Neurospora crassa OR74A: one gene and its partner. The protein of the gene in region 1 purifies or fractionates together with the protein of each later gene. This does not show direct contact. Links are inferred from orthologs where the notes say so. Each region holds a gene or a part of one and is shown in the gene's direction. Other genes may lie near its edges. The genes, in order: NCU04606 and NCU02685.

What was found.
Region 2: the proteins of NCU04606 (region 1) and NCU02685 purify together in Saccharomyces cerevisiae (affinity purification with mass spectrometry; 9 studies listed by BioGRID, with this or other methods). This does not show direct contact. The link is inferred for Neurospora crassa OR74A from reciprocal best matches to the Saccharomyces cerevisiae genes PRP6 and BRR2.

Annotation. Positions count from the first base shown.
Region 1 is NC_026505.1:1,526,471-1,533,762, forward strand, and holds NCU04606 (pre-mRNA splicing factor), read left to right. Parts: upstream 1-2,796; 5' UTR 2,797-2,889; coding exon 2,890-3,224; intron 3,225-3,336; exon of another isoform or gene 3,337-3,376; coding exon 3,377-5,795; 3' UTR 5,796-5,929; downstream 5,930-7,292. Other genes in the region: NCU04607 (hypothetical protein), read right to left, coding at 1-336, 408-665, 1,094-1,151, 1,230-1,281; NCU04605 (hypothetical protein), read right to left, coding at 6,225-6,401, 6,533-6,651, 6,751-6,862. UniProt on the Saccharomyces cerevisiae protein: Participates in pre-mRNA splicing. Part of the U4/U5/U6 tri-snRNP complex, one of the building blocks of the spliceosome.
Region 2 is NC_026501.1:3,197,217-3,204,560, reverse strand, and holds the start of NCU02685 (pre-mRNA splicing helicase), read left to right. Parts: upstream 1-3,262; 5' UTR 3,263-3,376; coding exon 3,377-7,344. Other genes in the region: NCU02687 (activator 1 41 kDa subunit), read left to right, coding at 1-379; NCU02686 (hypothetical protein), read right to left, coding at 646-1,785, 1,837-2,096, 2,211-2,409.

The DNA of each region.
Region 1 (7,292 bases):
TCGGGTAGTTGTTGTACGCTGCTACTTTGGCCTGCAAGATAGTCGTAGGAAGGACCGGCAGCGGCACGAACAGACATGCGAAAGGCTATTTCGCGGTAAGTGTCGATGATATAATTCATGGGATCGTTGAAGTATTGATAGCATGGCAGGCCATCTTCATTGGCGGTCCAGTTCGCAGCGTACAGGTTGGCAATAAGACCTTCGTAGTTCATTGAATAATCGTGTATGAAGGCATACTGCATCCAAGAGGTGGAGCTGAAGAGTGAGGTTCCTAGTTGCCAAAGGGGAAGCACGGTGTTCTCCGTTGGATAGTGTAGGTCCTGCATATACGCATAACTTGGAGGTGTTGGTTTAGTTCGACAAAGAAGTATGGGATAAGGCTCAAATCTAGCATTTTGACAACTTACATAGGCTTTACAAATTTGTCACCTTTCCAGCTCTTTGACTGCAAAGTCGCAATGTCTCCCTGAAGACTCACATTGTATTGTACTGCCCCAGGCTTAAGATTGCATGTATGATTAAGAAACAGACCGGCGCATCCAGTATCAGTTTTTCGTCTTGTGGTGATTTGGATCATTGACCTGTTTGAAGAGATGGCATCGGGGTGATGAATAAGATCGTCGTCCATAACTGGCCTTACGGAGGTCTCAAATATGATGTTTTTCCTAAATTCATTATGTTCTCTCAGTGGTTCGATCGCCTTGAAATCGAGATCATATGTATCCGAGCTGTTTCTTAGTTCTGTACAGTTGATAACATCGAAGCCGAATGCCTGAACCAATGATCTCAAGTTAGTCGTGGCCAGCGAAACGACAGCTCAAGATGGCACTATGATGATTGGAGTATTGGGCCTAGAATATATCTCACCACGATAGTTAAGGTGCAGTTCTCACAATATACCCCTCTCATCCGAATGGGCGCTTTGTTTAGAAGGTCGCGGACCACATCTGAGAATCCAGGAGCGAATTGCCCAATGGGCCGCGTATACTCCACATTTAACTTGCCAAACTTTCTGCCCCAAAGGCTGCTGATATTCAAAGTGACTGGAAGATCAATGGTATTGTTCTGCCATACATCGACCACTTGAACATACGAGGCTCGTTGCATCAGAGGACCGCGAAGGAGGGCCGTGACTGTGACGAGGATAGATACTGTACAAACGTAAGTGATGATGCCATAATATCTCTGATGTGGTAAAGACCGGGGCAGGGGAGTATTGAAATTCTAACCTAAACTGACGCGAATCGCCTTTCCCTGGAAGATGGACTTGACTGCGCCCATGGTGCTTGAAGATCCGGCCCAGTTATGGTGGAGGCTGCTAATCTGTATATCGTGTCAATTGATATATCATACTGACTGACAGCCGAGAGATGCCGGAACTCAACTGGTAGCGGCGTTGTTGCTTGGACCCAGAAGAATATCACGGCCGCTTGGGCAAAGGCAAGCCCCATCAACGCGTTTGCAAGAGTCGATGTGTACGCCAACAAAACACCGGGTTGTCTGAGCCCGGACCAGTTCTTTTCCGAACCACCATCGCTCTCGAGAACGACTCCTATAGCAATTCCTGTACCTAGTCCTTGCAGTTAGCATTGTCGGTACTTGGTCACAGCCTCAGTGTTGTGGTGAACGTAGGAACGAGTACTCACAGCTTATACAAAAGATCAGCGGAATTATCCCAAACCAGGGAAAACGTCTGAAGCCGCCTGGTTTCCAAGAGATCTTACCTGCGGAGTCATTTGATGAGTGTTTGATATGAGAAGACATCGGGTTTTTGATCAGCGGCTCCATGACTATCACATCAAGCTCTCCTGTGATGGACGAGCAAGAAGGTCTGGACCGAATATGTGAGTGGTAGTAAAGGGTGAAGAAGCGAGCTAGATGCCCATACTTATGAGATTTAGTCAACAGGAGGGTCTCGAAATTGCACATTGGTGGTTCGAGTGGGCGGCGCTGGAGTAGCTTTCCTTCAGTCGCCATGAGTGCTTTGAGACAGTGTATGCAGATTGGAAGCACCTTGTGTACAGACGTTCAAGTTGTGCGAACTCGGATCCCGCTGTATACTCAATCAGGGACGTGGTACTGAATAAATATACCTAGGTAGACGGCCGGCAAGGAGCTAAACCCAGCCTAAATTCATTGCAGAATAAAAAGGCATAGGCTCAGTCATCGTGTGCCGTTGTACAGCATGTTTATTGTAAACAGGAAAACCTGTGTTACGAAGTCTCGGTGAGGGAGTATATTCGCCTTGCATGGTGCCGCCTTTGCGGTTAACCTGACCGTGAAGGTTGAATGGTGCGAGGCATAAATGCTGTAGTTGCCGCACCTGCACAGAAAGAATTTAAATGGGAGGTTGAAGTTGGACATTGTTGGCTAGGCTGATCGCAGGCATTGCCATAGATGAATAATGCATTTCCCTTAGTGATGCTGCAACACGAAGAGCAGACGAGCATCTGGGTGAAGTTGTCCCACTTCACGCCTCACTGAGCCAGGCCATTTCAGTTGCCGACGGCAGGAGCGCTGAAATATCGTCATAGTTGTCTTCTATGGCCATCATGGCTCCGCTGACTGGTGATGGTGAAGACGGGAAAGGAGGTAGATGAATGATAGGAGGAAGTAAACAACGAAAGTGGAATTAAGCCGCCAAGCACTGGTGGAGTCGTAGACTGTTTACTTGGCACTGTGCCTGCCATTCGTTCGTCAAATGCCAAGAGCGCCTGGACCAGTGGCAGGCAGGCTTCAGTGCCCTGGAGTTCGACTTCCACTTCGACTTGCAGCCTGCCGGTATTTTGCCGCTAACTCAAATGTTTGGAGCTACCTCTACGGCCACCACGGTCACAATCCTAGCCACCGCGTCTCTACAATACATCACGAATACAGAAAACCGCCACCATGTCTAGACGGGATTTCCTCAGTCAACCCGCACCCGAGAACTACGTCGCCGGTCTCGGTCGTGGTGCCACGGGTTTCACTACACGATCCGATCTTGGTCCCGCGCGCGAGGGTCCTAGTGAAGACCAGATCAAGGCGGCCGTCGCGAAGAGATCTGCACAGCTAGGTCTGACCGAGGCCAAGGACGACGACAATGAAGACGATGGCCGCTATCAGGATCCCGACAACGAAGTCGGCTTGTTCGCCGGCGGCATATACGAGAAGGACGACGAGGAGGCAGATCGGATATGGAAAGAGGTAGACGACAGGATGGCGAAGCGGCGACAGAAGCAAAGGTTAGTCATTACCTCGTATACATCACTTGACATCCTACATAAATTCACAAAACACCCTTCTACCCCTTCCCCAACACTTTCAAGCAAGCATGTGGTTTATCGGTCAAGATAGATGAAAAGCAGAGTACCGACAAGAAATCGCATTTTCACAGGGAAGCACGAGAAGAAGCCGAACGATTAGAGTACGAACGAAAGAACCCCAAAATCCAACAGCAATTCGCCGGCCTCAAACGAGCGCTCGAGACGGTCACCGACGAAGAATGGGCAAACCTACCAGATCCCAAGGACCTTACCGGCAGGACCAAGAGGGCACGCCAGGCTCGCATGGAGCGCTTCTACGCCGTTCCCGACAGTGTCCTCGCTGCCGCGCGAGATTCCGGCCAGTTCGGTACCACCGTTGCAGAAGACGGCACCGCCACCGAAGGGGTCAACAAGGATGGCACAGTTACAGATTTCGCAAAGATCGGTGCGGCTCGCGACAAGGTGCTGAGGGCGCGCTTGGAACAGCAATCACAGTCGAGTAGCGTGGCCACGGCGGGAAGCGCGACGAGTATCGACCCCAAGGGCTACCTGACATCGCTGTCGAGCATGCAGGGTGCGGAACAAAGCATTGGAGACATTGAGCAGTTCAGGAAGATGCTCAAGTCGGCTGTCGACTCGAACCCCAAACAGGCAGCCAGTTGGATTGCTGCAGCGAGATTGGAAATCGCGGCGGGAAAGCCTGGTGCTGCCCGCAGCTTGATTGCCAAGGGCTGCGAACACTGCCCGAAGAGCGAGGATATTTGGCTGGAAAACATTCATTTGAACGACAACCGGAACGCCAAGGTCATTGCGGCACAGGCTATTCAAGCCAACCCACACTCGGTCAAGCTTTGGGTGGAAGCGATGAAGCTGGAAAACGACCCTAGATCAAAGAAGAAGGTTATCCGGAGAGCTCTCGATCATAACCAAGAGTCCGAGGCGCTATGGAAGGAGGCTGTCAACCTCGAGGAGGACGTCGAAGACGCCCGCATTCTACTAGCCAAGGCGACGGAGCTTATCCCGGAGTCGCTCGACCTCTGGTTGGCACTGGCCCGTCTCGAGACTCCCGAAAACGCCCGCAAGGTTCTCAACAAGGCCGTCAAGAAGCTTCCCAACTCGCACGAACTCTGGATCGCCGCCGCTCGCCTGGAAGAACAACTAGGCGAAGGCAAGAAGCGGCCCGTGATGAAGAACGCCGTCAAGTTCCTCGCCAAGCAGAACGCCATGCCCAAGCGCGAGGAATGGATCGCCGAAGCAGAAAAGTGCGAAGAGGAAGGCGCCGTCATCACTTGCAGCAACATCATCGAAGAGACGCTTGGCTGGGGTCTCGACGAGGACGATGACCGCAAGGAGCTCTGGATGGAAGACGCGCGCGCCTCCATCAACCGGGACAAGTTCGCCACAGCGCGCGCCATCTACGCCTACGCCATCCGCGTCTTCCCCAACAGCAAATCGCTCTACACGGCCGCCATCGACCTGGAGCGCAACCACGGCAGCAAGGAAGACCTCTGGCACGCGCTCGAAAAGGCCGTCGAGGCCTGTCCGCACTACGAAGTCTTCTGGCTCATGCTCGCGCGCGAGAAAGCCGCCGAGGCGGGCGTCGACGAGGCACGCCTCGTCCTTGCCCGCGCCTTCAAGCAGAACCCGGACAGCGAGGACATCTGGCTGGCGGCCGTCAAGCTCGAAGCCGACAACGGTTTCATCGACAAAGCCCGCGAACTCCTCAAGACCGCGCGCCAGAATGCGCCCACCGATCGCGTGTGGATGCGCTCCGTGGCGTTTGAGCGTCAACAAGGCGTCAACGAGGCCGCTTTGGATCTCGTCCAACAGGCCCTACAGCTCTTCCCTTCCAAGCCCAAACTCTGGATGATGAAGGGCCAAATCTACGAAGACCTCGGCCAACTTGGTCCTGCGCGGGAAGCCTACAGCACCGGCGTGCGCGCCGTCCCTTCGTCCATCCCGCTCTGGCTTCTGTACTCTCGTTTAGAAGAAAAGGCCAACAATGTCGTCAAGGCGCGCTCGGTCCTCGACCGCGCCCGACAAGCCGTGCCCAAGTCCCCGGAGCTATGGACGGAACTCATCCGCGTCGAGCGGCGCGCGGGCAACTTGAACCAGGCCAAGTCGCTCATGGCGCAAGCGTTACAGCAGATGCCCAAATCGGGCTTGCTGTGGGCGGAAAGGATCCTCAACCTCGAGCCGCGCACGCAGCGGAAATCGCTGCTTGCCGAGGCGGTGAAAAAGGTGGAAGACGATCCGATCCTGCTGGTCACGGCCGCGAGAATTCTGTGGGCGGAAAGGAAGCTGGACCGGGCGCAGAACTGGTTCGAGAAGGCGCTGTTGCTGGATCGCGATGTGGGCGATACGTGGGCGTGGTATTACAAGTTTTTGGTGCAGCATGGGACGGAGGAGAAGAGGGCGGATTTGGTGGCCAAGTGCGTGTTGGTGGATCCTAGGCATGGAGAGGAGTGGACGAGGGTGGCGAAGGATCCGAAAAATGCGGGAAAGAAGACGGACGAGGTGTTGAAGTTGGTGGCAGAGACGTTGTCTTGAGGGGGGTTGTTTACTATGTAGACGGACTATTTGTGATGCTAATGTGGTGTTGAGGCATGATCAGCCCTGGGTTTGGGTAAAAAAGACAAACAGACTCGTTAGAGCAGCGCAAATTTCATCTGATTCAATCACGATCGGGGCTGTTATGTTTCTTTGTTTTGATGGTTCGCAATTGTTCGAATTAACTTGTTCCATAAAGTCCTTTCAAATGTCCTAACAAGTCCTAGAACTCCCGAATCATTCATGGATGATGCATTAGCTTTAGCGTGCGTAACGTAGCAAACCCTAACCTCCTCCCCCCCAAACTCATGATATCATTAACCTTTTCATCATTATCAATCATAAACAAACGCCTGACATGCTTTCCCTTCGTCCGTCGAACTTGCCGTCGTTATTAGTTTCGGTGTTTATTTGGGGATCGCCGCCAATTTACTTGGAGTTGCCGCTACCAAACCAGCTGGAAACTCCAGCTTTGGCCTCGGCAGCCTTCTGCTCCACGGTGCGGTCGAACTGGTCAATCTTCTTGAGCGCTTCGGCCTTGGTGTCCTTGGCGAGGGCTTCGGCTTGCGACTTGGTTGAAGAGTAGGTCTTGTCTGCTTGGGAGACCTGTTTCGCAGTATCATCATCATCACTTGTCAGCACTTGTTTGCGTTCGCGTGTGGGAGAGGAGAAGGAGGAGGAGGAGGAGGAGGAGGAGGAGTAGTGGTGGTGAATGAAGGTAAAAGAAAAGAACTTACAGCCTCATCAATCTTGCCACCGATCTCCTTGCCGTAGTGGGCACCCTCCTGGCGGGCGTTGGTCTGCGAAGAGTTGGGCAACTCAGACTTGATCTTGGCGGCGCCGCGGTGGAGGTCGGCTGGTTTTGATACATAGTTAGCATCGTTGCGCCAATGTGTTGGGGATAGAAATTAGTAGAGAGACGGAGGGTGTGATGAGGTGATGGGATGATACGCACCCTCAAACTTCTTCTCAGCGGCCGAAGGGCTGCCTCCAGACTTGTAGATGTAGTAGCCGCCGAGACCGACAACGCCGGCGCCGAGAATGGGGAGAATGCGAGACTGGGACATTTTGGATGTTGTTGTTGTTGTTGTGGTATTAAGGTTTAGTATGTGTGTTGTAATTATTGCGTGGTTTGCGATTATCGCGAGAGTGGTTGTTTTGAGTGTTGATTTGTTTGTGTTGTTGTTGTGTAAGTGGCTTGGGGAAGGTAGACGACAGATGATATTATATACTTTTAAATGCAGTGCTCCAGAATGAATATGTCATCCCTTCCTTCACCTTTCCACTCCCGTCCCAAACTTCTCCAATTTCCATCAGTACCAGAATTCCCAGTTGGACGTGCTTGTTGCTTGCTTCCGAGTGAACGGCTGCTGTGTCAAGGCCCGTGGTGCCTTCTGTCCTGGCATTCAATCATGAATTCATGACGTAGGTCGCTCTGGGCCTGAGCGGGGCCGTTGATACAGTGGAGAACGTGTGGAGGCCAAGGCTAGATCTGGA
Region 2 (7,344 bases), on another chromosome or scaffold:
AGAAACCGAAGGCGACGACGAGATGGAAGTGGACGCCAAATTGGTTACGGTCAAGGTCGTGGAGGATATCGCTGGTGTTATCCCGGACGATACCATTCAGAGGTTACTCGAAGCGATGCGGCCCCGCGCTGGGGTGGATACGTACCCTGCGGTTGCCAAGGTGGTCGAGGAAATGGTGGCGGATGGTTGGAGCGCTGGGCAGACCATGACGCAGCTCTACCAGGCGGTGGTTTTCGACGAGATGATCCCGGATGTGCAGAAGAACAAGATTGTTATGGTGTTCTCGGAGGTGGATAAGAGGCTGGTGGACGGCGCAGACGAACATCTGTCCGTACTCGACCTGGCGCTACGGATATCGGGTATCATGGCTGGGAGGTAACGGCCAAAGCTTAAAGAGTCTGAAAGGGTACGACAGAAGCAGATGGTTCAAAGATAGGCGACATATCACTGGGTTCGGAGTTTCGGTTTGGGCAACAGAAAATGGCAGGTCATTTACATCGCACTACAAGGTCATATTTTGGTGTTTCTAGTCCTAGACTTCTTTCTTGACAAATGCTTGACAATGGTCTTTTATCCCTGGCACCTCGCCCACCAGTTGTGTTCCGAGGTGTCTCCCGTCGCAACACACGATAGTTATGGCTGCCTCTACCCAGACTTCTCTAGTCCTACATGCACATCCACCATATTCCACATGCTCAAGCTCCCTCCCTCACGGTGACCAATTGTCTCCTTCCCCTTCCTGCCTCCCTCATCGTATCTCGTCCCAAGTCCCGATCCACCAGTTGCATTTGTGATTTTCAGCGATTTCTGCCCTTCGACAAGCCATATGTCAGATTCCTCGCCCACCTCATCATCATCGCCATCATTATCATCATCATTACCCTCCTCCTCTCCGCAAGCCGCTTTAACCGGCTGCTGTCGTTGCTGCTGCTGCTGCTGCTGCAACCCACGTCCCAACAACCGATCAGCCTCGCCTAGCATGCGAATTGCTCCCTCCAGCGCTATCTGCCCTTTCTCAATTTTCTCCACTACCACCTCAAAAGTTGCGATCTTGGCCGAGTCGGCAGCTGATACCCACGGGTTGACTAGACGCGATGACATCATGGCGTTGGGGTCATCGTCCTGTTTCTTCTTCTGCACTACTACTGCCGTGGCGTGGGCGGGTATCAACTGGCTTTCTTCCACCAGGTGATCCAGCACCTGGGCGTTTTCCCTCAGCTGCTTGGTGAGGAGGGTGGTTACGTGGGCCTTGTGAGCCATGAGGCCTTTATGTTCGTGAGAGAGGGTGAGGAGGCGGGTGAGGGTTGGGGTGAGAAGGTGGTCTATTATGGGAGCGGGTGTAGACGCCTCTGCTGCTGCCGCTGCTGCTACTGCTTGTGTTGAAGATCGCTCAGGAGATGCCGCTGAAGGAGAGGAGGAAAAGGCAGTGATGGCGGGGAAATCAAGGGACGGTAGGGAGCGAAGTTGGGTGGTGACCAGCTCTAGGAGAGCTTTTCGCATGGAGAGATACTCGGCGTATTTTTCTTTGATGCTGGTGAGTTGTTGCTTAAGGAGTTGGGTTTTGTGTGCGAGCTGTTGGTCCCGTTGGACTTGGAAGTCATCTTGTCCAGCCCTTTCTCCTCCTCCGTCTTTTTCCTCTCCGGATGCTTTCCCTAGCTCGGTCTCGACCCAGTTGATCAGCTCAGTACGAGTGGCATTTAATGCTTGAAGCTTTGCTTCTGGGTTGATTTCATCCGGCTGCACGGTGAAGGGGTGGGATTTCGCGTTCTCGAGGAGGGTCTCTTCCTGTTTAAGTGACAGTTTCGTTTGGAAGGTACGGTGTTCGAGTGTCTTTACAAGGTCCTCGAGCCGGACACTGCTAGATGCGGTGATGTTCTCCGACGTTTCCTCGAGCGCTAGAGAGTTGATAATCTCGGTTGGAACCTCAGGTAGCGGTCTGCAAACTCTGAAAAGTTTCTGGTGGTCTAGGAAATCCGGTGATGCCGCCGGCTTCTGCCTCAAGAGGTCAAGGTTTTTCTTGACCACTAACAGTTTCTCTTGCTTCTTTTGTATTTTGAGGTTGGTAAGATGGTTGAGAAGGTAGTTAGACTGTATTTCTGTTGGTTGAGGGACAGAAACCTCATGATGACTGCGCTTTTGTGAGAGTGTGTGGTATTCTTTGCGGGCTTTGATGTTCGCGCGCAATGCTTCGAGGAATTCCCTATACAGACCTCTAGTATCTTGTGAGTAGGAGGGTACTTCACTTGACTCGGTGAGAGACAACGGTTCTGTCAGCGTTGCTCCGTCTTTCAAGCCCGAACTGAGGTGAAGTGTCAAGATCCGTCTGATATGGGCGGCTTCCTCGCGAGGCCTGGTGTATGGTTGCAGCACCTTCTGAACAGCTTCTAGCGTTTCTCGAAAGGAATCCATCGTGTAGATAATTCCAACTTGACCTGTCTATCAGTATTGGCTTCTTTTCATATCAAGGCATAAAACAGCTTATTGGTCAAATTGTGAATGACTGTGATCATCGATGAGCTCAGCCCGATGTGAGCAGGACGGACATAAGAGAGCGTGGTATGAACCAGAGGTATCTCAGTTTCCAGCATTCAAATGATTGTTCAAATAGCTCGTGAAGTAATACGATTCGTCCCTCTTGGTGGTATGAAAAAGAGGTATCGTAGAAGTCGGAGCCCATGGATCAGACTTCTGCCACCTATCTCGAGTTGCTCGATGGGTTGAGATCGTGTTGATGATTGTGCCTACCACCTTTAGGATGTTTGTTAGTGCACCTTGACCAACCTCTACACACCCCACGGGGTCTCCGCCTATGCACTAACACCGCCCTGACAGCAAGGTCAAGCTCCAGCTGTTCAGTGTGTTTACGTGCTGTCCAGGCAGCCAATGAGAGTCGACGACGGCAGCATTGCATAAAAATTTCCAGCCGTCATGACTGGAGCCACACCTATCTCTGCACCGCTTGCCACCCCTACCAAGCCAAGTAAGTTCCTGCTGGCTGGCAAGAACCACGCCTCTGGCTCAACCTTTCCAAACTGAACGCCAAACTCCAACCTTCCTTTCGCGACAACCGCGACAGACTTCTGTCGGAAACCCATCATCTCTGTTTCCGCCCGACCCCAGATTCTTGATCTACCCATCGATGCGACCGGCGAAATACTACTTATCAGCCAGCAAAACCAACGCTTGGTTCGGGCCGGGCTCGGGCTAATTTATCGCCACTGCGTGCACGCAAGAACAAGCACATTTTATCCCCAAAGGCCGAGTTGAAGATATCACCAGATCGAGACTCTTCCATCCGCTACGACCTCTACTTCGATCTTGACGTATACCTCAAAACATTTCATAGATTTCTTTTTTTCTTCTCCGAGCTGGCAAGATGACGGACCACCACCGCGATGTGTCGCAATATAAATACTCGGCCATGTCCAACCTGGTTCTCCAGGCGGACCGTCGTTTCGTCACGAGGCGTACCGATGAGGCCACGGGAGACCCCGAGTCCCTAGCCGGGCGTCTGTCCATCAAAGATATGGGCTCCAGAGTCGCTCGCGACTCAGCACCAAAGCCCAAGAAGGCGGGCGCCATGCCCGACGTCGAGCGGGGCAGTCTAAGGGAAGGTGCTGATATCCTGCAACGAGAGAAGAAGAAGGGCAAACTCGAGTCCGCTACAAGAGGTGGAGGTATTCTTACTGGCGCCGACGCGCTTATCGAAGGTCTCCGCTACCGCCCTCGAACGCAGCCGACGCGCGATGCCTTCAACCTTATCCTCACCATTGTCGCCGAACACTTGGGCGACGTGCCCCATGAGGTCGTTCGCAGTGCTGCTGACGCGGTTCTCGAATATCTCAAGGATGACGACCTGAAGGATTTTGACAAGAAGAAGGAGGTTGATGATATTCTTGGAGTCTCGATGGGGCCCAAGCAGTTCAACGAGCTCATAAATCTCGGCAAAAAGATCACGGATTACGACGCTCAAGATGAAGACGAGGATGCGGGCGATGCTAGGCAAGAAGGCGACGACGAGATTGACGGTCGCCAGGGTGTTGCGGTCAACTTCGAGAACGATGAAGATGATGATGGCATGGTTGATGTTGTTCGGGACGAATCTTCCGATGAGGAGGATTTTGCGGAGGATGAAGAGCTGCCTGACAGCAACGAGGTGGTCGATGGTGAAGGAGGTCAGGAGGAGGTGGTCGAAGATATTCTGAACGGCGAGGCCATGGTCATCGATTCAGCACCGGAAGGGAAGAAAAGCGGGTCTGACGACAATTCCATACCCGCCAGAGATATCGATGCGTTCTGGTTACAACGCCAGATTGGCCGGCTATATCCCGACGCACATATCCAGCATGATAAGACAATGTCTGCGCTCAAGACTCTTTCCGGCGAGCCCGATGAGCCAGGTGGTGAAGAAAAGCAGCTCCGCGACATCGAAAACGACTTGATGGAGCTTTTTGATTACGAACACCACGAGCTTGTGCAAAAACTCATTGCTAACCGGGAGAAGGTCGTATGGCTTACTCGGCTGGCCAGAGCTGAGAATGAGGAGGAGAGAAATACGATCAAGCGGGAGATGGCTTCTGAGGGTCTGCGTTGGATTCTGGACGAGCTGGAAGGCAAGACCGACGGCGGCCAGAAGAAGATCAAGATGGACATCAAGATGGACATTGACTCGGGGGCCTTTGCTGATAAGGAAGGCCAAAAGCCTGAGCGTCCCGAGGGACAGCTAGTCGGAGGTCTGCAGCCACGCAAGTTAATAAACCTGGAGAACCTCATATTCGATCAGGGTAACCACCTTATGACCAATCCCAAAGTACGACTTCCCGAGGGCTCGACAAAGCGCACCTTCAAGGGCTATGAAGAAATCCATGTGCCCCCACCAAAGAAGCGCAACGACCCCAGCGACGCCCATGTCCCGATTTCTGAAATGCCTGAGTGGGCTCAGATACCTTTCAGCACGGCCAAATCGTTAAACAAGATTCAGTCAAAGTGCTATCCTACTGCCTTTGGTGATGATGGAAACATGCTTGTCTGTGCTCCGACGGGCTCTGGCAAGACCAACGTGGCGATGCTCACCATCCTTCGTGAGATCGGGAAGCATAGAAACGAAGCCGGCGAGATCGACCTGGACGCCTTCAAGATCGTCTATATCGCGCCCTTGAAAGCCCTTGTTCAAGAACAGGTCGGCAACTTCGGAAAGCGTCTCGAACCATTCGGTATCAGGGTGGCCGAACTCACTGGCGATCGGCAACTTACTAAGCAACAGATCTCGGAAACGCAGATTATCGTTACGACCCCCGAAAAATGGGATGTCATCACGAGAAAGGCTACTGATCTCTCCTACACCAACCTGGTCCGCCTGATTATTATTGACGAGATCCATCTCCTTCACGATGACCGTGGTCCTGTGCTTGAAAGCATTGTCGCCAGAACCATCCGCAAGACAGAGCAGACCGGTGAGCCTGTTCGCATTGTGGGCTTGTCTGCCACTCTGCCCAACTACCGCGACGTAGCGAGCTTCCTGCGTGTGGATACGAACACCGGGCTCTTCCACTTCGATGGTACCTTCCGCCCTTGCCCCCTCCGTCAAGAGTTTATCGGCGTCACGGACAGAAAGGCCATCAAGCAGTTAAAGACCATGAATGATATCACCTACCAAAAGGTCTTGGAGCACGTAGGACAGAATCGCAATCAGATGCTCATCTTTGTCCATTCCAGAAAGGAAACGGCAAAGACCGCCAGGTACATCAGGGACAAGGCTTTGGAAATGGACACCATCAACCAGATCTTGAAGCACGACGCCGGAACCCGTGAAGTCCTGAGCGAAGCCTCCAACTCTGTCAACAACACCGATCTGAAGGATATCTTGCCCTATGGCTTCGGTATCCATCATGCTGGTATGAGTCGTGCTGATCGTACCGACGTCGAAGATTTGTTTGCCAGTGGCCATATCCAGGTTCTTGTGTGCACAGCCACTCTTGCTTGGGGTGTCAACCTTCCAGCCCATACCGTCATCATCAAGGGCACGCAAGTGTACTCGCCTGAAAAAGGTAGCTGGGTTGAGCTCAGTCCTCAGGATGTGCTGCAGATGCTTGGTCGTGCCGGTCGTCCTCAGTTCGACACCTATGGTGAAGGTATCATCATCACCACCCAGGGAGAGATGCAGTACTACCTTTCGCTCCTTAACCAGCAGTTACCCATTGAAAGTCAATTTGCTAGCAAGTTGGTTGATAACCTCAATGCTGAAATCGTGCTGGGCAATGTCAGAAGCCGTGACGAAGGTGTAGAGTGGCTTGGCTATACCTACCTCTTTGTTCGTATGCTTCGCTCTCCTGGTCTTTACCAAGTTGGGGCAGAGTACGAGGATGATGAAGCTTTGGAGCAAAAACGTGTCGACCTAATACATTCCGCTGCTACTGTGCTGAAAAAGTCAAATCTAATCAAGTATGACGAGAAGACCGGAAAGCTTCAGTCCACTGAACTTGGCCGCATCGCCTCGCACTACTACATCAGCTATGGTTCGATGGATACCTACAACAAGTTGATTCAACCCTCTATCACCGATGTCGAACTCTTCCGAGTATTCGCTCAGAGCGCCGAATTCAAGTACATTCCTGTTCGGCAAGAAGAAAAGCTGGAATTGGCCAAGCTCCTGGCAAAGGTACCCATTCCGGTCAAGGAGAGCATTGAGGAGCCTACCGCAAAGATCAACGTGTTGTTACAGGCGTTCATCTCTCGTCTGAAGCTGGAGGGTCTCGCCCTCATGGCTGACATGGTCTACGTTACGCAATCTGCTGGTCGTATTCTTCGGGCTATCTTTGAAATCACGATGAAGAAGGGATGGGCATCAGTTGCTAAGCTGGCCCTGAACCTGTGCAAGATGGCCGAGAAGAGGATGTGGCCAACCATGTCGCCGCTGAGACAGTTCCCCAACTGTCCTGTTGAGATTATCAGGAAGGCTGAAAGGATCGACGTGCCCTTTTCCAGCTACTTCGATCTGGACCCTCCTCGGATGGGCGAGCTTCTCGGACTACCCAAGGCGGGCAAGACTGTTTGCAGCCTGGTGGCCAAGTTCCCCCGCGTCGAGGTCCAAGCCCAGGTGCAGCCCATGACAAGGTCGATGCTGCGCATTGAGCTTGCGATCACGCCAAACTTCGAATGGGATGCCGATATCCATGGGCTTTCCGAGAGCTTTTGGATTATCGTAGAAGATTGCGATGGGGAAGACATTCTTTTCCATGATCAGTTCATCCTGCGCAAGGACTATGCGGAGTCCGAGTCCAACGAACACATTGTTGAATTCACTGTACCCATTACTGAGCCCATGCCCCCCAACTATTTTATCTC